2 linked regions of the Diceros bicornis minor genome follow. The protein of the gene in region 1 purifies or fractionates together with the protein of each later gene. This does not show direct contact. Links are inferred from orthologs where the notes say so. Each region holds a gene or a part of one and is shown in the gene's direction. Other genes may lie near its edges. The genes, in order: ARCN1 and COPZ1.

Region 1 (10,166 bases):
ACTTCTCCTCAATGTCTGGATCCTTCACATCTTTCAGGCTCAAATGTCACCACCTTAGGTCTTCCCTGACCACTCTATCAAAAGTAGATCCCACTCCTCACCATTATTCCTCATAACATCAAACTCTGCCTCCATCAATGCACTTACCACATTTGCAGTGATGTTTGTTTACTCATTTGTCATCTATCTCCCATGATTACAAGCATCAGGATGGCAGGGCAGGGTCAATGTCTCTTTTAATATTGTATACCTAGTGCCAAGCATGAGGCTGACACATAGTAGGCATTCAAAAAATGTTTGTTGAATAAATAATGATGTCAAGTCCTTTTAAAATATTCCACTGAGATTTTGATTGGAAGTGCAGGTTAAAGGCAGGTTATTGCAGCATCTTCAAAACTGAGCAAAACAGTTTTGATAAGTTAAAAAAAAAAACCATGAACCCCTGGCAGATTGTGAACAGAGAAAGTAAATGGTGATAGGGTACAGCGGACAGGTTAGAGGAAGATCCTGTATTCTGGATGGCTGTGTTTTCTCCCCTCTTAATTAGTTAGAAAACAGAAACAATGGCAAGTGAAGTAACTTGACTCTGAAAGCCAACATTTGCTATTATAAAATAGGAACTTCTTGAAGACAATCATGAATCCATCCTGCCCTTTGTTCTGAGAACCATTTCTCTTCTTTCCTCTTCATTCATTCCTCTCTTACCTTTGTGTCTTGGGGTTGGAGTATATATACTTGCAACCTCTTCAGAGTCGTTAATCTCTAGACGCTCATCGTATGTCTGGTTTTCAACAATCTTGGTCTAAGCAAAAGGAGACATGATTACATAGCTCATATCACGGGACGTTAAGCACTGTGGGGAGTACCGTTCCAAACCAGCATTGGTTCCTCTTCCTTACTCATGACACTAGTTTTACGCGAAACCTTCACCCCCATTCAAACTTTCCTTAAGGCTTCTTCGCCCCAAGTCAAGCAGTTAAGTCATTCTGCTGCAGCTCTTCATTTAGGAACTGCTGGCAGGCTGGCTAAGGAATGAGGGAAACGTGGAGGGAAACGACAGCCAACTTCTGCAGCAGCTCCTTAAAGCTGTAAGATACACAAGACCCCGCGCAAGGGCAGAACAGGATTCCTCTGTAGATGGCGGCTCTCTTCTCAGGTTCGATCGGTTTCCCCAAGGCTGTTGGGGTTTCTCAGGGGAGGCTGAAGAGGCTCTAGAAAGAGTTCTCTCTGGGATCACCCCGTGGCGGGGGTCGGGGGGAAGAGAGGGTAAACTCCAGTCTCTCGGTCCCAGCCAATAATCCCCAAAGCATCATCCCCATCTACACTCCCCGTCTTGCAGGTCGGATCCCACTTAAGTTTCTTGGGGAGTAAAGGAAGCAGTACGGTTGGTAGTGGCGTGAAGGAGGGAGAGAAAGAACAGCTGTTGAGATGGAAAGAGGTAGAGAGGGTTGGGGAGAGGGAAGGGGAGTCCTTTAAAATTCCTCTTGGGAGGGAGAAAGGGAATTCTCTTTCTGCTAGGGTGAGTACGAATTACCTGTAGCCCCTCTGAATCCGTCTCCCCTAGATGGAAAGAACCCCAGCCTAAGGCTGGAGTCTCACTCCAATCTCAGGCTAGGCCACTTGAGGGATTCCACTTGAAGCAACCGGCCTGTTGTCAGTCGCTAGGCAGGAAAAAAAAAATTCGCGAGACTTGCTTTCACTCTCGTGCGACCTTCTCCATTCACTTGCGCATTACGTCTCTTCCAGAGAAGGATCCGAGGAGGATCAAGAGGGACTCGGATAAAGCCTCTCTGGGAGATCAAGTCTCCTGTTTGTCTATGGTTTCAATAAATGCGTCTGTGGCGGCATCTAGCGGTCACGGGTGAAAAAGCGGGCTGAGGAATTTCGGTTCGTATAGTTAGCCCTCCAATCTGGAAATACCGCGTGCATTCCGGCCCCCCCCCCCCCCCCCCCCCCCGCCAAGGACCATTGGGCATGCAATTCCTACTAAATCAGTCTCATCAGAATTTAGGCAAAAATCTCCAGGGAATACTTTGTACGTCCTTTTATAGCATTTATATTATATTATAGTCCTTTCCCTCCACGATGTCCTGTTGCATGGGACATACGTTAACAAATCGTTGTTTATCTATCTGAGACTCAAATTTAACCCAGTGTCCTGTATTTTTATTTGCTAAAGAAGACTGAGCTTCCTTAGGGCACGGCCTGGGTCTAAATTTTTAACCTCTTCATAGTGTCAGTGTGTTGCATAAATTGGGCGCTTTAAAAATGCTGGTAAGGGCCGCCGGTCGCTTAGCGGTTAAGTGCCCATACTCTGCTGCTAGCTCCCCGGTTAGGGTCCCAGGCGCGCAAGGACTGACTGCTTCTCTGGCCTTGCTGAGGCCGCGTCCCACATACAGCAACTAGAAGGATGTGCAGCTATGACATACAACTATCTACTGGGGCTTTAGGGGAAAAAAATAAATAAACAAATAAAATTATTAAAAAAAAATGCTGGTTTTAAAAAATGCTCTTGGGTGGATGAATGAAGGAATGAGTGAATGAAGATGTAAGGAACAAATGTCCCAAAACTATAGACACAGTTAATTTTGGGAGTCAGAGAGAGAGAAACAAAGAAAGGAATATTGGAAATTTGACCCTGAAAACCTGTCAGGGGAAAGCGGGAAAGTGGTTTTAAAAAGAAAACAAGAGACACCACTTCTGAGACACTCTGGTTAAAAATGGAACTGCAAAACATTTAAAAAATTTTTTGTCATCTGTTATTGCTAATAATAATGGATATGTATTGTTAGTGCCATGGAATTGATTCAGGCTCCTAGCAACCCTGTGTACAGCAGAGCGGAACTCTGCCATGTCTTTTTGCACCATCCTCTCACCTTCCAGAGCTATATCAGACAATGCTCAGGGCTGCTATTCATAGGTGTGTGTGTGTGTGTGTGTGTGTGTGTGAGGAAGATTAGCCCTTAGCTAACATCTGTTGCCAATCCTCCTCTTTTTGCTGAGGAAGATTGGCCCTGAGCTGACATCTGTGCCCATTTTCCTCTACTTTATATGTGGAATGCCTGCCACAGCATGGCTTAATAAGCGGTGCAGTCTGTGCCGGGGATCCGAACCTGCAAACCCTGGGCCGCCGAAGCAGAGCGCATGAACTTAACGACTATGCCACTGGGCCAGTCGCTATTCATAGGATTTTCATTGCCAATTTTTTCAGAAGTGGGTAGCTAGGTCCTTCTTCTTAGTCTGTCTGTCTGGAAACTCTGCTGAAATCTGTCCACCATGGGTGACCCCACTGGTATTTGAAATACCGGTGGCATAGCTTTCAGCATCACAGCAACATTCAGCCACTATAGTATGACAACAGACAGACAGATGGTGTGGTTCCCAGTCAGGGAACATGGGCTGTGGCAGTGAGAGTGCCAAATCTTAACCACCACACCCTGTAGGAGCACTTAGATTATACAATTTTATTTATTAATATATTGTTTAACTTCACAACCTTATGAGATAGATGTTACTGCCAATTTACAGATTAGGTAACTGAGGCTGAGGAGAGTTAAAGCAACTTGCCTAAAGTCACTCAGCTAGTAAGTGCTGAAAATGGGAGTCAAACACAAGGCAGTCTAACTCCCAAGTCTCTGCTTTTAAAACCACTATGACTACTGCCTTTAAGGTGCTCCTCATGAAGCATGCTTGCAGGGTGCTTTTCTTCCACAGTTTAATTCAGCTACTATCATATTTCCAAAGAATCAGCATCAACTGGTCTTTCCTGAGCCTCGGTAGTCCATATTGAAGGCCCCTGGAAGCTGCCTCAATAAAGCAATAATTCCAGGCAGGATTTTTACTTTTTTTAAATTAAGAATTTGTTCATCTTTTTAAAAATACATGTGCTTCTTATAACAAAAATAAACAATACAGTTTGACATATATCCTTCCAGACATGCAAAGTTTAAAAATACATGAGCTTTGTAAAGATTCTACTAGAAAGTCATTGGAGATGGAATTGAAATGAGTAACAGTGAGAATTCTATAATGCCGTGCTTAAGGGTACAGGTTCTGAAGTTGAGCAGCCTTTGTTCGAATCCTGGCTTTGCTACTTTCTAGCTCTGAGACCTGTGGTAGAATAGCTTTCTTCTCTGTACCTTGGTTTCTCCACCTGTAAAATAGAGATATTAATGGTACCAATCTCAGAGAATTCTTGTGAGGATTAAATGAGATGATCTGTGTGAAGAATTTAGAGTAATGCCTGCTACCTTGTAAGTGGTCAATAAACATTAAGGAATACACAGGAGATATAGAGAGGCAGTGTGTCATAATGAGAAAAGCTGGGTTTGAACCCTGGCTCTACTACTTACTGGCTGTGTGAGTTTGGGCAAGTGCTTAACTTCTTTGATCCTCTGCCCTTATCTAGATTGTTATAAAGGAATAGGGATAACATATATAAAGTACCTGACATAAAATAAACACTCAATAAAAGATTGCTGCTTATCCATTATTGCAGCAATGGATGTGCTGCAGAGTCGAGCCAGTGATATAGGGAAGAACTGCTGAATCACATATTCTCTAAGTCTGACATTTGGCGTGGGAGAACTACCAACAGAATCAGAAGACTGGATTGGAGTCTTGTTTCCATTATATACTGGCCTACAACCTTGGGTAAATTGCTTAAACTTGTCATCATTTTCTTCATCTACAAAATGGACATAAGCACAGTAACTGCCCTGCTTCCCACACACATTTTTTAAAGATATAATTTACAAACTATAAAAATTCATCCTTTTAGGGGCCAGCCCAGTGGCCAAGTGGTTGGGTGTGCGCGCTCTGCTGCAGCGGCCCGTGGTTCACCGGCTTGGATCCTGGGCGCACACCGAGTACCACTTGTCAGGCCATGCTGTGGTGGCGTCCCATATCAAAGTGGAGGAAGATGGGCACGGATGTTAGCCCAGAGCCAGTCTTCCTCAGCAAAAAGAGGAGGATTGGCAGATGTTAGCTCAGGGCGGATCTTCCTCACACACACACAAAAAATCATCCTTTTAAAGTGTACAATTCAGTGGTTTTTAGTATATTCACAAAATTGTGCAACCACCACCCCTATCTAATTCTAGAACATTTTCATCACTCCAAAAAATAAACCTCACTCGCCATTCCTCTTCTCCTCCAGCCCCTTGCAGCCCTACTTTCTGTCTCTATATATTTGCCTATTATAGACATTTCACATAAATGGAATCATATAAGATGTGGTCTTTTGTGACTGGCTTCTTTCACTTAACATAACATTTTCAAGGTTCATACATGTTGTATAATGTATCAGCACTTTATTCCTTTTTATGATCGAGTAATAGTCCATTGTATAAATATACCACATTTTTTTATCCATTCATCTATTGATGGACATTTTGGATTGTTTCTACTTTTTGGCTATTATGAATAAAGTTTTATGAACATTAGTGTAGGATTTTTTGTGAGGTCTTATGTTTTTAATTCTCTTGGTATATATCAAGGACTGGAATTGCTGGATCATATAGTAACTATATGTTTAACTTGTTTTTTTTTGCTGGGAAAGGATCACCCTAAGCTAACATCTGTCGCCAATCTTCCTCTCTTTTTTTTTTTTCTCCCCAAAGACCCAAGTACATAGTTGTACGTTCTAGTTGTAAGTCTTTCTAGTTCTTCTACCTTAGCGGCTGTCACAGCATGGCAACCGACAGACAACTGGTGTGATTCTGCATCCAGGAACCCAACCCTATGCAAAGGGAAATTGCACAGAACTTTAACCACTAGGCAATCAGGGCTGTCTCTGTTTAACTTTTTGAGGCACTGCTAAACTGTTTCTGAAAGTGGTTGCACTATTTTACATTCACACCAGCGGTGTATGAGGATTCAAATTTCTCCATATTCTCATTGACATTTATTATTATTATAGCCATCCTAGTGGGTGTGAAGTAGTATCTCATCGTGGTTTTGACTTGCATTTCCCTAAGGACTAAGGATGTTGAGCATCTTTTTATGTGCTTATTGGTCATTTGTCTATCTTCTTTGGAGAAATGTCTGTTTTGTCCACTTGTAAATTGGACTATTTGTCTTTTCATTGTTGAGTAGTAAGAGTTCCTTATATATTCTGGATACTAGTCCCTTATGCACACAGGTTATTTTGTATGTTAAATGATATAGTGGCTGTGAGATCTTTATAAACTGTAAGAGGTACCACAAACTAAATGAAAGCTCTGACGAACGGTGAAAAGACAGAAGTATGAAGTTCCACGGCTTGGGGGGCGAAGCCCCTTGCATCCTTGGCGAACCAGCCGGTACCCACAATTTCCCCACCCCACGGCGCCCCGCCCTCCGCCCTTTGACCCGCGCCGTTTCCGGTTGGAGACGTGGCTCCAGGCCGCCATCTTGGCAAGAGGCGAAGCGGCAGCGGCCCCTGTCAGGGGGGTAGCAGGTCTGGAGCGGCTGGTACTGCCCTTCCCCTGACCCTAGCGCTATCCGCAGTGGAGCCGGAGCGCAGGTGCGCACCACCACCGCCCTCACCATGGTAAGTTCCGAGCCGGGTCCAACTCCCGGGGTCTGGCCTTGCTCGCTCGCTCTCCCTGCCGGACGGCTTGGTGCTGGGGCCACAGGAGCCCCGCCCCGAGGGCCTGCAGCCGGGCGCTTCCCTCAGGGCTGGGGGAGCGGCGTGGCCTTGCCCACCCTGTGCCGGGCCTCCCGGGAGATCCGATGGACCCGGCTCCAGTCCCTGTGTCGTCGCGCGCACACCCCCCTCCCGCCCCCGCCCAAACAGCTGGGACCCTCCGGGCCCTGGAACGGGCTTGGGGTTTTTGCGCTGCGAGAACCTCGTAGTGGTGTCGCTTGGACCCCATGCTGCGGCCTTCGGCGCTAATGTCCCGCCCGTTCCATGGGCGCCTGGGCTTAGCAGGCTGGGCCTCTCTCGGGGATTAGCTTCCTTCTGTAATCAGCTCTCCTCCCATCCCCGGTGTTCCGTAGGACATTGATACTCGAACTCCAAATCCATTGGTGTTCAGGACTTTTTCTTTTGTTTGTGAAAGGGGGAAATAGATGAAAGGAGGCATAAAACAGGAAGGAGTACCTTCTAACACTAATCTGTAGGACCCAACTGTCCCTGAAACCTTGCACTGCTTCTCCAGAATTTAGGTGTGTCCTTTTGTCAGTGGATTAAGTATACCCTGTGTATAGAGCACTGGGCAAATGTGAGCGAGTTAGAGAAAACACAGGCTGTCCTCAAGGAACTTACTGTTCCGGTAAAGTAAAATGTGTATGTGGCGTATCGTGATCAGATGTCTCACAGGAGCAGTAGAAACGGGTTATACTCTGGGACCTCTTACTTGGCTTCAAATGCGTTATCTTTGTGTTCTCATCTATTGTAGGGAAAAATTAACGTGGGTGAGGATGGGACAAAACAGTGCTGACTCCACTAAATCTTATTTTATCACTACAATTAGTGGATATTTATGAAGTAGGAGAAAATCTTTGGCTCCAAACGAGCTAGTAATTTATTTTTTAGTGAACTTTATGCCCTTCAGTGTTTTGAAGGATGTTCTTTTCTTTTTTTATTCTCTTTTTGTCAATAGATTAATAATTTGATTTAAAGCATTTTCCTGCACACTTGAGAGATGACAATATAATTTGGTGCCAGTAATGTTAAGTTCTATTGACAACGTTTTTTAGATGAGAACTTAGATGGTGGGGGGGATTCATGCTTGGGCTTAAAACCACTGAAAGGTTTTTTTCAGCTTCAGGCATATAAATTTTGTCAAGCAGGATTACCTCATAAAACTTTTACGTTGGACATAAAATTTCCAAAAACTCCTTTTTTCATTTTCACTAGGAGGCTTAGTATTTGGATAGTGATTTTTAAACTCCTTTTTGGATGTTTTTTACATCTTGGATGTATCTGTAGTGCATTTTAGAGCATGTTATAATTTTAATAGCGAAATTAAAGCCTTATATAAACCAAATATAGATAATCTTTACAAAAACTTTGTATGTTGAAAAGTTCTTGGAACTTAGTATTTTTAATTCATCGATAACTGCGGAATGGTAAAGCCCTAGGTGTTGACTGATAAACATAAAATATAAATTTTGTGTGTTACTCGGACACGTGCATATACATACAGTTGTGTCATATTTAGATATGCATATCTTTTTGAATTATTTAGGACTTGGCATGATCCAGATATCACAGATTTGTGTACTCTAGAGAACAGCTTATCTCAGTACATTCTGCTCTGTTGAATCTTAAGACGTTATTAAGTGTTATTGCTGTGTAATGTTTTTGGGCCCTATTCCTTTAGGAAGAGATCCCTGGACAGTAGAAACGTCCAAATAGGGTGACATTTGGTAAGATTTCTTGCATCTAAAAGTTGTATCAAAACTCCTGAAAGTTGATTTTTCCTTCACATTTTAGTATAAAATTTTCAAACATCTAGAAAAGTTGAAAGAATTTTACAGTGAACACCAATATAACCACCAGCTAGATTCTGTAATTAACATTTCACTATACTTGTTTTTCTCACACATCTAATCATCCATCCATTCTTCTATCCATCCTTTTTTTTAATGCATTTCAGAGTTAAGTTTCAGCTATCAGTACATAAATATTGATTTTTGAAAAATTTCCTTTACCTTTAGTTACTGAAATTCGTGCAAAATGTCCTACCTTGTGAAGTCCTAGTAGAGAAATAAATGAACAAATGCAAAAAGAAATGGCTTATGATGACTTTGTTATAAAATGAAGTACAAAAAAAGGCATCTTTTTTCTAGTTTTCTGCAAATTAATGAGAACATATTCTTATTTTCCTAATTTGTCAGATATCGTTAGAATCAGTTCTTTTTCTTAGTAAACTTACATTCGAATAAACTTGATATTTAGTCTCATGGTAGCACCAATCTGTAAAATCTTTGCTTATCTACAGAGTGCTGTTCTTATTTACTACTATAGGCAATGAGTAAACTTACTGTAGTGGTCAGATTAAATATAAATGATCCCAGTAAGTTCAGTTTCCAAAAGTCATTAGTTATTAGAAAGCTAGATTTGGGTTTGTATGGCAGATCTACACATGACGGGAGAAACTGAAATTCTACACAGTCATAACAGTTCCCAATTAGGGGATTATTATTGCTTGTTTTTTCCCTTTTTCATGTACAATACAGCAGCTGCACAGCTATTGTATTTTTTATTTATCTTTTTGATTGTTGTTTGAAAGGACAGCAAAGAATGAAAATGATTTTTTTGAGTTTTCCTTGATGGCCGTCTATTTATTCTCTGAGTAGGAAGTACACTGCAGAAAGTGAGAACTATGTCCATTTATTTTTATTCACTACAAGCTTGTGTTTTAGAACAGAAACTTGTGATAAGCTTAAAACTCTCACTGAGTAACTTTTCAAGTTTTAGGTTTTGTCTGTGGTCTAGATTTTATTGTAATCTTCCCTCTGATTTTATCTGTAATTAGTTCATGCAAACAGGAAAGATAAAATTGTCTCCTATGACAGTTGTAGAAACTAGCGTTAATATGATCATGAATTTTATATATTTATATAATCATTACAGTGAGTTACAAAGGAGAAAGTGACTGGTTAATTCGGGAAGTAAAGAATTCTGAAGCATTAGGGGTTCAAGAAAGTCGTTGACTTTTTTCTTTAGGGAATTGTGCGTGTTTATTCTGAATTACTACTCGTTATTCTTGGACCTCTATCACTAGTGGGCATGAAGGGATGATGTGGCAGCTATGTCACATGTGTATAGCCATATGTTGCTTAACGATGGGGATATGTTCTGAGAAGTGTGTCATTACACGATTTCGTCCTTGTGCAAACATCATAAAGTGTACTTACACAAACCTAGATGGTATTGCCTACTACATACATAGGCTATATGGTACTAATCTTATGGGACCACCGTTGTACATGCAGTCTGTCATTGACTGAAACATCCTTATGAGGGACATGACTGTGCTGTACACACACATGATTTGTTTTGGTTAGGCAGTTTGCCTTCTAGCAGCTTAATATTAACATAAAATGTGGTCCAAAGCAGTTACCACTGGAGCAGTGAGTGTGAAATGGAGGTATTGTACATTTTCTTTTGCTGTAAAGTCTTCAGGTGCTTAGAGTTACAGAATCTTAAAGATGTGAAGGCACTTTAGATTTCA
Region 2 (10,357 bases), on another chromosome or scaffold:
GTTCTACATAAAACTCACAGTAGCCAAGACAATCCTATTGGCTGATCAAAATAGTTGACGATTTTGGAAGAAGACAAATATGATAATTAGAAGGTTGCTTAGTGAACAAGTGGAATTAGTTAGAAAATTTTAATGGCTAATAGAACTGCATCCATCTCCTTTATAAATGTATAAGATTCACTTGTGCCAGCCAAACAGGAAATCTTCTTCCCTAAATGTCACTGGAGACATATTGACAACATTTCTGTTGTTTTGGTTGGGGAGGAGGGATTGTATCTCCCCCTTCTGTGAAGACCAGGTACAATTCAACTGATTGGGTTTCCGCTCCAGCCAAGTTAACACAATGGATTCGGTTCCTGTTCACTTCAGCCATTTTATTATACTTGATTGGGTTAGCGTTTGATTGTGTTAGGGCTCCAGCCATTTTACTTTAAGTGATTAGACTGCTAGAGCTTTAGATATTTTGATAGAATTATGCTTTTCTGAAACTACACCAGGTCATTTGCTACTTCTACACGTGGGTGATCTCATCCATTACTCTCTGACTTTTCCTAATTTCACTTGTGGTACACAATCTTTGGGGGGCATTTCCTGTTACCGTTTTGTGTTCACTGCAGCCTGAAGAACTGCAATGGCTTCCTAGTTGATCTTTCTGCCTTCCACCTCTCTTCCAATCCTTCCTACACACACAGTTGTCAAATTAATCATATTAAAATTTCTTCCATACACACAGGTGAAAATACTTGCAACTCATATATCTGATAAAGTTTTAGTATCCAGAATATATAAAGAACTCTTAGAGCTCAACAACAAAAAGACAAATAACCCAATTAAAAAATGGGTAAATGACTTGAATAGACATTTCTCCAAAGAAGATACACAAATGGCCAACAAGCACATGAAAAGATGCTCAAATCATTAGTCATTAGGGAAATGCAAATCAAAACCACAATGAAACACCATTTCACACCAACTAGGATGGCTGTAAAAAAAAAAAAAGAAAAATAATAAATGTTAGTGAAGATGTGGAAAAATTAGAATCCTCATACCTTGCTGCTGGGAATGTAAAATGGTACAGCTTCTGTGGAAAATAGTTTGGCGGTTCCTCAAAAAGTTAAACATAGGATTACCATATGACCTAGCAATTCCACTCCTAGGTATATATCCAAAAGAACTGAAAACAGGTACTCAAATATTTGTTACACAAATGTTCATAGCAGCACTATTCACAATAGCCAGAAGGTAGAAAAAATCCAAACATGTCCATCAATTGAATGGACAAACAAAACAGGGTATACTGAGCAGTGGAAAATTATATGGCCACGAAAAGGAATAAAATGCTGATACATGCTAGAAAATGGATGCACCTTGACAACATTCTGCTAAGTGAAAGAAGCCAGATGGCAAAGGTCACATATTATATGATTCCATTTATTTGAAATATTCATAGAGACAGAAAGCAAATCGGTGGTTGCCAGGAGTTTGGGGAGGGGGAAATTGGGAGTGGTTGTGTAATGGGTACCAGGTTTTCTTTGGGGGTGATGAAAATGTTTTGGAACTAGATAGACGTGGTAGTTGCACAATATTATGAATGTACTTAACGCCACCAAATTGTACACTTTAAAATAGTTAATTTTTGTCATATGAATTTACCTTCAATTAAAAAATGCTTTCATAATCTCATGTCTTTGCTCAGAAGTGTTCAATGGTTTCCAATTATTTATAAGATAACAAATAACAACGGTAGAGCATTTAACAGTTTACACATATTTTTACACATATTATCTCACTTAATCCTCACAACTTTATCCCCATTTTGACACTAACTTTTGTGTTTATTAGTTTTTAAACATAAACACATGCTTATTGTAACAAAGTCAAACTATACCAACGTATATAAAGAAAAATTGTTTAATAATCCACTTTTTCCATCTCCCCATCTAGGTAACATATATTAATATCTTTCTTCCACATTGTACTCTATGTTGTATTTGCCAAGAATGCTCGTCTCCCAAATATCCGCATGATTCATTCTCCTTCTCCTTTCAGGTATTTATCAAATGTCCCCTTCTTGACCACTTTTTTTTTTTGGTGAGGAAGATTAGTCCCGAGCTAACATCTGTGCCCATCTTCCTCTATTTTATATATGGGACGCCACCACAGCATGGCTTGATGAGCGATGTGTAGGTCCACTCCCGGGATCTGAACCTGTGAACCCCGGGCCGCCGAAGCGGAATGCGCAAACTTAACCACTATGCCATGGGGCCAGCCCCTGCAACATACTTTTCTTCATTTAACATGCCATTACCTGGGCCGGCCCCACGGCTTAGCGGTTAAGTGTGCGTGCTCTGCTGCTGGCGGCCCGGGTTCGGATCCCAGGCGCGCACCGGCACACCGCTTTTCCAGCCATGCTGAGGCAGTGTCCCACGTACAGCAACTGGAAGGATGTGCAGCTATGACATACAACTATCTACTGGGGCTTGGGGGGAAAAAAATAAATAAAATTAAACAAACAAACAAACAAACCAAAAAAATCATGCCATTACCATTTCTCCAGGTTAAAGCATATGGCTTAACATTCCTTTTTATTAGTTGCATATTACTCCACAGTCTGGATGTAAAATAATCTGTTCAACTATCCTCCTATTGATAGACAATAATGTTATTTTTTGCTATTGTAAGCAATGTTGCAATAAGCATTCTTATATATGTATCACTATGTACTGGGTTATGTTTTTAATTTCTAGGAGGGGATGTACCCATGTTTAATTTTATAGGATGTTGCTATAACACTTTCCAAGAGTGTAAGCTCCAACTCCCATGGTCATCTGGTCCCACTACTTAGGTTTGCATTCAAGGCATTTCACAATCTGGCCACAAAGTACCTTTCCAGTTTTACTCCATCCTCTTCCCTATTTCTTTATTTCAATCCTCTGTGCTATGAAATCAATCCCTCAAAGATTTCTTACACAACTGTGAAGACATTATGCTAAGTGAAATAAGCCAAACACAAAAGGACAAATATTATATGATTCCACTTATATAAGGTACAAGTACAGTTAAATTCGTAGAGACAGAAAGTAAACTAGTGGTTACTAAGGTCTATGGGGGAGGGGAGAACCGAGCGTTATTGTTTAATGGGTACAGAGTTTCAGTTTGGGATGATGAAAAAGTTCTGGAGAGGGATAGTGGTGATGATTGCATAACAATGTGCTTAAGGCCACTGAACTGCACATTTAAAATGGTTAAAATGGTAAATTTTATGTTGTGTATAACACTAAATAAAATATTTTTTTACTTTACAATTTAAAAAGTAAAAAAAAAAAAAGATTCCTTACACATCCCAACCTCCATACCTTTATTCCTACCAAACTCCACCTGTCATTTAATCAATGCATGAATGAATCAAGGCCTAACTCACCCTCTTCTCTTAGACCTTGACCTCCCCCAGCTCCCATCCTCAGGGATCACTCCCTCCTCAGTATCTGTGCCTCTTGATATTTAACCCTGAACTGCCCTTTGACACTGCTCATTCATCTTTGTATCTTGCATTTTTACAAATATTCATTCCATTCAGTAAACACTTACTGTTTGAGGATTTACCGTTTGAGGGCTAGGTGCTAGGGAAATAAAATGAATGGGACAGGGGCCAGCACAGTGGCGTAGCGGTTAAGTGCACTTGCTCGGCTCGGTGGCCGGGGTTCGCAGGCCCGGATCCCGGGCTCGCACCATGCACCACTTGTCAAGCCATGCTGTGGCAGCGTCCCATATAAAGTAGAAGAAGATGGGCACAGATGTTAGCTCAGGGCCAATCTTCCTCAGCAAAAAGAGGAGAATTGGCAGCAGATATTAGCTCAGGGCTGATCTTCCTCACATACACACACACATACACACACACACAAATGTATGGGACAAGGCACTGCCTCAGATGGCAAGTCTGGTGTTATGTTGATGTCTTACAAAATGCCTACGACCGTAAACGATGGCAGCAAGGAGAAAGTGTCCAACTCCACCTGGGACATCAGGGAAGGCTTCATGAGAAGAAGATGTTGATTTTGTTCTTTAAAAAATAGCTCATTTCTCTCCTTTTATTTATTTATTTTTTAAAATTTCATTTATTTATTTCCCCCAAAGCCCCAGTAGATAGTTGTATGTCATAGTTGCACACACTTCTAGTTGCTGTATGTGGGACGCGGCCTCAGCATGGCCGGAGAAGCGGTGCGTCGGTGCTAGCTCGGAGCGCACACACTTAACCGCTAAGCCACGGGGCCGGCCCTATTTTTCTCCTTTTAAAATAGCACCCACACATTTTAGAATACCTGGAAAAATATGGAAACACTGAAAAAAGTCCTACTACTTCAAAACAGCCACTGGTTACATTTTGTTGTGTTTCCTTTCAGTCTTTTCCTCCACTCATTTTTAATAAATTGTTTGTAACCATATATACATGGTTTTATATTATGTGTGTATACATATAAATACATAGAGCGAGACAGAGACAGAGACAGGGAGAGAGAGGGAGAGAGGGAGAGGGAACATATGCATTTTACGTTTGATTGGTTCTTGAAGGTTTTCCAGGTGAAGGGAAGATGGAAACAAAAGGAGCAGGAATGATCACAGAACTTGAACACTAGGTAGGGCCTTAGAAAACTCTGGTCTGAGCCTCCCCATTTTCCAGAAGTGGCAGCTGTAGTCCAGAGAGGGTACAAGGACTTGCCAGAAGTCTCCCACTTATTAAGGCAAAGTCATGACAAGAATATTTCCGATTCAGCTAGTTGTCTTCTCCTCACCACTAACTCCCCATAGTTACTCAATAGGCTGGAGAGCTAAGAATCAGCCATTTTCTGGAACAATGGCTGACTGTTAAAATTTGTCAGTTACTCCACAATCAAAGAAAGAGGAGTCCCCTCCTCCCCAACCAACCACATCACACATTTTTCCTCCTCATGGTCCCTCTAGAACATCTGGCTCTGGTGTAGGGTACTTCAGGTAGGACCGGGACGAAAGAGAGGCTATACCACAAGTCAGAGGAGTGGATTGTGGGTAAGAACATGGCTTTAGAACCAGACCTCCTATGCTCAAATGTAAGGATGCCAGTTAATAGTTGTATGGCCTTAAGTAAATTATTTAACTGTTCCGAGCTCCACTTTTCTCATCCGTAAAATGGGAGTAATAACCATCTACTTCATAAGGGTTTTAAACATATTTTAAATAGTGTATTCAAAGATTTAGCATGTGCCTGCCACATAGTAAGTGGTCAATAAATGTTAATATTAAGCTAGCAAGCCAAGGACAACCTTGTGATGCCAGGCACAGTGCTAAATGCTGGAATAACTCCCCATTCAGAATAGATAAAGGCTAAGCCCTTGTTTCTTCCAGATATGAGGCTTGTCACCTGTGACTTCACCAGAAAGTCATATACTTTCCTTCATAGCATATGTTAGCTCTGTAGTTTGTTTTGTATTGTTCTATACTTTTTTCTTAGGTCCTCTAACTCTACTCTGAAATTATTAGAAAAATTCCTCGTTTTGATGCCCTTCTTGGAGGGCTCCTAAAGACATAATTGTCAGAGATGGGGGGAAAAAAAAACACAAACACTTTGGAGATAATATAAGGCAACAGAAGGTGTCCCTGATCTAAGGGGGATTGGGGACCAAGGAACCGAGAGGTAGGTGAAAGCTAAACTTTATCAAAGCCCTTCCCTATTGTGAAATCCCTGCATTCGGTAAACTTCTCTTTTCTCGTTTTTGCAACGGCTTGTCCCTACTGGAAAACCGCAGACCCTGCTCCCTATACCCTCCTTTATCCTGGACCCTTTACCCCTTTGTCCCTCCTACTCTTTCCTCTTCGGTCTCCAAAGTTCTAACATCCCGTTTCACGTCCGGCCAAAGAAAATCTGTTTTTAGAAACTCACTGGCTGCTTGTCCTTCCCTGGGCCCAGCAAAGCCAGGAACACCACAATGGGGAGATCGTTACTCCAGCAATCAACCTCTGGTGGCCTTGGTTTATCTAGTTAACATGCTGGGCATCTCTTGGCTTTACTCTATGGTTGTGCAGACTTGCTGTGAGGTTGCTGAAGTGACCTGAGAGAGTCTGAGGGGAGAGCTAGCATTGTTGGCCAAAGCAACCATGGATATCAGGGACCTAACGGGGGCTCTTGGAATGGGGATTAGGGTAGGATTCTCTCAGGCGCTGCCAGTGTTAAGGGCTAAAGAGACACAGCGCCCCCTAAAGGGAGTGCGGATTAAAGTTGCTAAATCAGACGGGAGGTATCACATGCCCTTCGCCCAGCCAATCGAAAATTAATAATCGCTTCCCCTGTTCCCCATGGAAACAACCCCGCCCCACTGGCCCTCCCGCCCCGTTCAGGCTTGAGGTTTTGGCGTTTTATTGAGTGTTTAAACTGACAATCAAATACTTGCGCCTTCTGGTTGGGCGCCTTGCTTCCGCTAAGCAAGCTAGTACACTGATTGGTCAGTAGAGCAATAGCTGGCACCTGGTAGTCCAATAACCCCCATCCTGGGCGGCGCCTCATGAGGGCGTAGGGCCAATCAGCGGCGGCGTTGCTTTTGCGGCTCCACGTCGGCACCGGCTGCGGGGCAAGATGGAGGCGCTGATTTTGGTAGGAGCCGGGGGGGCAGCTGGGATACTGCGGTGTCCACAGGGGCCGGGAGTAGGGGTTCAACTTGACTGGGAGTGGGGAGAAAGAGGAGTTCCGGGTAATCCTCGGGGACCGAAGGTTCTGCCGGCCTGTGGAATAAGCGTGTGGCCTAGCGCAGGAGCTAAAGCCTCGGTTTAGAGTAGAAAGCTCCGCCGGGGAGAGGGCAGAGTCGGTGGAAAGTTGAAGGGAGCACGTGGACTCTTTGAGACACATAGGATCATAAGCGCAGTGGATTGGGGTCCTTCAGGTTCCCCCTGATTCTGAGCATTGTGGATGATACCCTGATTTGAGTTTCCCCAAACCTCCAAACTCGCCCCAAATTGTAATAATAGAGGGCAGGTGTTTGTCATCACAGGCTCCTCCTGATGGTTTGACTCTGTGTTGATCATTCCGTCAAGAAACTGTTTTCTTTTTACTTCAGTTTATCCCTTTTATGTGGATTTGTCATGATGAAGAATCAGTATTCCATCCAAGTTCTGGAATACCTGATAGAGTTAGCGTGGATTTGGAATATTTTTCCAGACTCCTTATTCTGTTCTCCTTTTCCCTCCCCCATTTAAACCTTAGGAATTCTTATTGTAGGATCTGGGATGCTAACTCGCCCTCTGGTTATATGAGAATTTTGGTGGCTAAAGGGGTGTATTAGCTCCCTTGTCCATATGATCCTTTTTGCTTGTTTAAACAAATAGAATAACTCCTTCTTTAGAACTGGACCAGAGCATTTCTCTCAAAAGGGCCCTGTTTTGCAATTTGAGGTTGTTAACACACCTCTGTGTAGGAGTTTAGCTTCCAGCTCCTTCCTTGAGTTGAACTCGAGGCCTCTTTCCTGTCTTTTTTTTTTCCTTCAGCTCTAATACATGTACACATTCAGATCCTCAACAGGTAAAGAGAATACGGGTTTAATTCCCCTCTTTCAAAATGGCAAAGATAGAGATAATTCCTTCTCGTCATATGGGTTAGTCAAGTCTAGATAGAAAGCTTAAAATGTGAGTAGTTTTTAGTAAGATATTTTCTATACCAGGCAGTTAACCAGTATTCTTAAACAGTTAGCAGACTGGGAGAAATTCTAGGGAATTGATTTCTTTGGAAGTTTTTAGAAATTTTTAGACTGCTCCCTACATCTGTTTAGAAGGGAACCTGCTTAGAGGTAAAAGAGTGAGAGAGATGATACTTGGGGAGCCCTTTTAACAAGGGATCTGTGTGTTGTGGTGAGTTGAGGGAGTTATATGTGAAAGTCTGTCGGTCACATTTTCTTTGACCTCAGTTCTCTGTCTCTGCTTCCTCAGTGAAGTCTATTTCTTGCTTCTTCCTAATATGCATTTTGATCTGTACCTAAGATGCCGCATTCACAGATCCTTGCTAACCGGGTCAGGTACCCCTGAACTTTGCTTTAAAAACCATACTGATTCTTTGTTGTGAGGAACCTATGTAATAGGGTTAGGGGAAACCCAGGTATAGGGAAAAGAGCTTGCTCAAGGAAGCACAGTGTCAAAATTAGGATTAGATTCTGGTTCCTAATCGTCCCAGAGCAAGTCCCTCTCTGATGATAGCACACCATGGGCTTTCCACCTCTTCTATATGCAAAATTGTACTTTCATCCATCAGTTACATAAAGCTTTTGTTGGGGACGAAGTGCCAACAGGTATCAGTTCTTGTGCTGGTCTCCAGGATTCTTAGGATATTCAACTAGTATTTTCCTTCCTCTGTGTTGGTTCTGTCCAACATTTTTTGTTTTTTGCTCTTTACAATTTGAATATATTTTGAGGCTGCAGAATTTTTGTGTGCATGTGTGAGGAAGATTAGCCCTGAGCTAACATCTGTTGCCAATCCTCCTCTTTTTGCTGAGGACTGTTGGCCCTGGGCTAACATCTGTGCCCATCTTCCTCTGCTTTATATGGGATGACGCCACAGCATGGCTTGACAAGCGTTGCGTTGGTCTGCCCCCGGGATCCGAACCTGCCAACGCTGGCCCGCCAAAGCTGAGCATATGAACTTAACTGCTGTGCCACCAGGCCGTCCTCTGGCCCGCAGAATTTATATACCTTTCTCACCATTCCAGCCCTTCTCAACTGGAGTTCCGGGAGAGAATTAAGCCTTAATGCCCTAAGGCATTCATTGTGTGTTATGAGTCAACTTCTTTCCTCTGTATCCACAAAGGCACTAGTTTCGTACCGCCCATGGGAGAAGCGAGAAAATAATTTAAATAATTTTCGGTCGTTCATATGAGGAACCCTAGTTGAGAATCAGGTGATATTTCCTGAATTTTTATTTCTCTTCTCACTAGACTCACATGCTGGCCTACAAAATTTAGCTCCATCTGATACAGAATCACCCTTCCTCACTGCTCCTTTTAATCGCATCCCTTCGTCTGTCAACTCAGCAGCATCTCCTTATTCTTAGGTTACCATCTTCATTATGAAAAGTATGAGGAATCCCTGGATCTTACCTTACCTCTCTACTGAACTAAAGAGTTTACTGTGCCCAGATGGTGCTTACCAAGCCACTCTTTAGAGAGGACAGACACCTTCTAAAATTCCTTTAGGCTTCCTTCTTTCACATTTCTATTTCCTGGTTTGGCTGGACCTCTGAGGAAATCTGATCAAAGCATATTTTTCTATCCTCACCTCTGCAAGGCACACAGCCATAGGACATTGAGAAGAAGGGAAGGGTAAGCTAGAAGGGGGTCAAGAAGAACCATCAATCGAAATTTGATCCGATTATGGGAATTTCTAAATACCAGTAGGTTCCCTTCATTTAGGTACTTTACAATGGGTCACCTTTCTTTCTTTTTTTTTTTTAATTTTATTTATTTATTTTTTCCCCCAAAGCCCCAGTAGATAGTTGTATGTCACAGCTGCACATCCTTCTAGTTGCTGTATGTGGGACGCGGCCTCAGCATGGCCGGAGAAGCGGTGCGTCGGTCCGCGCCCGGGACGGCCCGGGCCGCCAGCAGCGGAGCGCGCGCACTTAACCGCTAAGCCACGGGGCCGGCCCTACCTTTCTTTCTTGAATTAAGTAATCTTGCCCTAGCTTTTCAAGCAGATTTGTCTAATCTTTCTCAGTTCTCCTTATAGTCTCTAAGGGAAGAGACCCTTTCATCTCCTTCATTCCCAATGCTTAATAATAATGCTCCCAGCCTGCATCTGTGGACTCAGCTTCCCCTCTCCTGCTGTTTTCTGCTGGTTCTCCCTTTCTTAGTTGTGAATGGAGAGAGATCTCTGCAGGTCACCATTCTCCATTAATAACCCAGGAATCTTAAAGATAATGACTATCCCCTTCTTCCCTTCCCCTTTACCTTTTTTTCTCAAAGTGGAATTACTGTAGCAGTCTAGATTCTTAAATCTTTCCTCATAGGTTTCATTTTTCCTAATCCTCTCTGGATTCACTTGCTGAGTGTTTTTCCATTGCTTTACGGACTAGACTTAACTCTGTCCTTTCTCTCCCCTTAATAACATTTTTGTCCTAAAACAATGACCAAATCCCGAATTGTAAGCCTCATTCAAAAACCAGGGCATCCAAAGTGCACAACAGCATGTGTGTATATAGAGGAGGAAACTATGCAGAATACATCAATGACTCTTAAAGGTTGATATTGCTCTGTGGCCTTCGCTTCCTGAATCATCTTAATGGGGCTTTTGTTAAATTCCTTTGGCACTAACAGTAGAAGTACTTGGCCTAAATGCCCCCTCCCCCTGC

Evidence for each region.
Region 2: the proteins of ARCN1 (region 1) and COPZ1 fractionate together in Homo sapiens (co-fractionation; 5 studies listed by BioGRID and IntAct, with this or other methods). This does not show direct contact. The link is inferred for Diceros bicornis minor from reciprocal best matches to the Homo sapiens genes ARCN1 and COPZ1.

The regions. Positions count from the first base shown.
Region 1 is NC_080746.1:18,319,363-18,329,528, reverse strand, and holds the start of ARCN1 (coatomer subunit delta), read left to right. Parts: upstream 1-6,399; 5' UTR 6,400-6,529; coding exon 6,530-6,532; intron 6,533-10,166. UniProt on the Homo sapiens protein: Component of the coatomer, a cytosolic protein complex that binds to dilysine motifs and reversibly associates with Golgi non-clathrin-coated vesicles, which further mediate biosynthetic protein transport from the ER, via the Golgi up to the trans Golgi network.
Region 2 is NC_080756.1:16,083,237-16,093,593, reverse strand, and holds the start of COPZ1 (coatomer subunit zeta-1), read left to right. Parts: upstream 1-6,558; 5' UTR 6,559-6,604; coding exon 6,605-6,622; intron 6,623-10,357. UniProt on the Homo sapiens protein: The coatomer is a cytosolic protein complex that binds to dilysine motifs and reversibly associates with Golgi non-clathrin-coated vesicles, which further mediate biosynthetic protein transport from the ER, via the Golgi up to the trans Golgi network.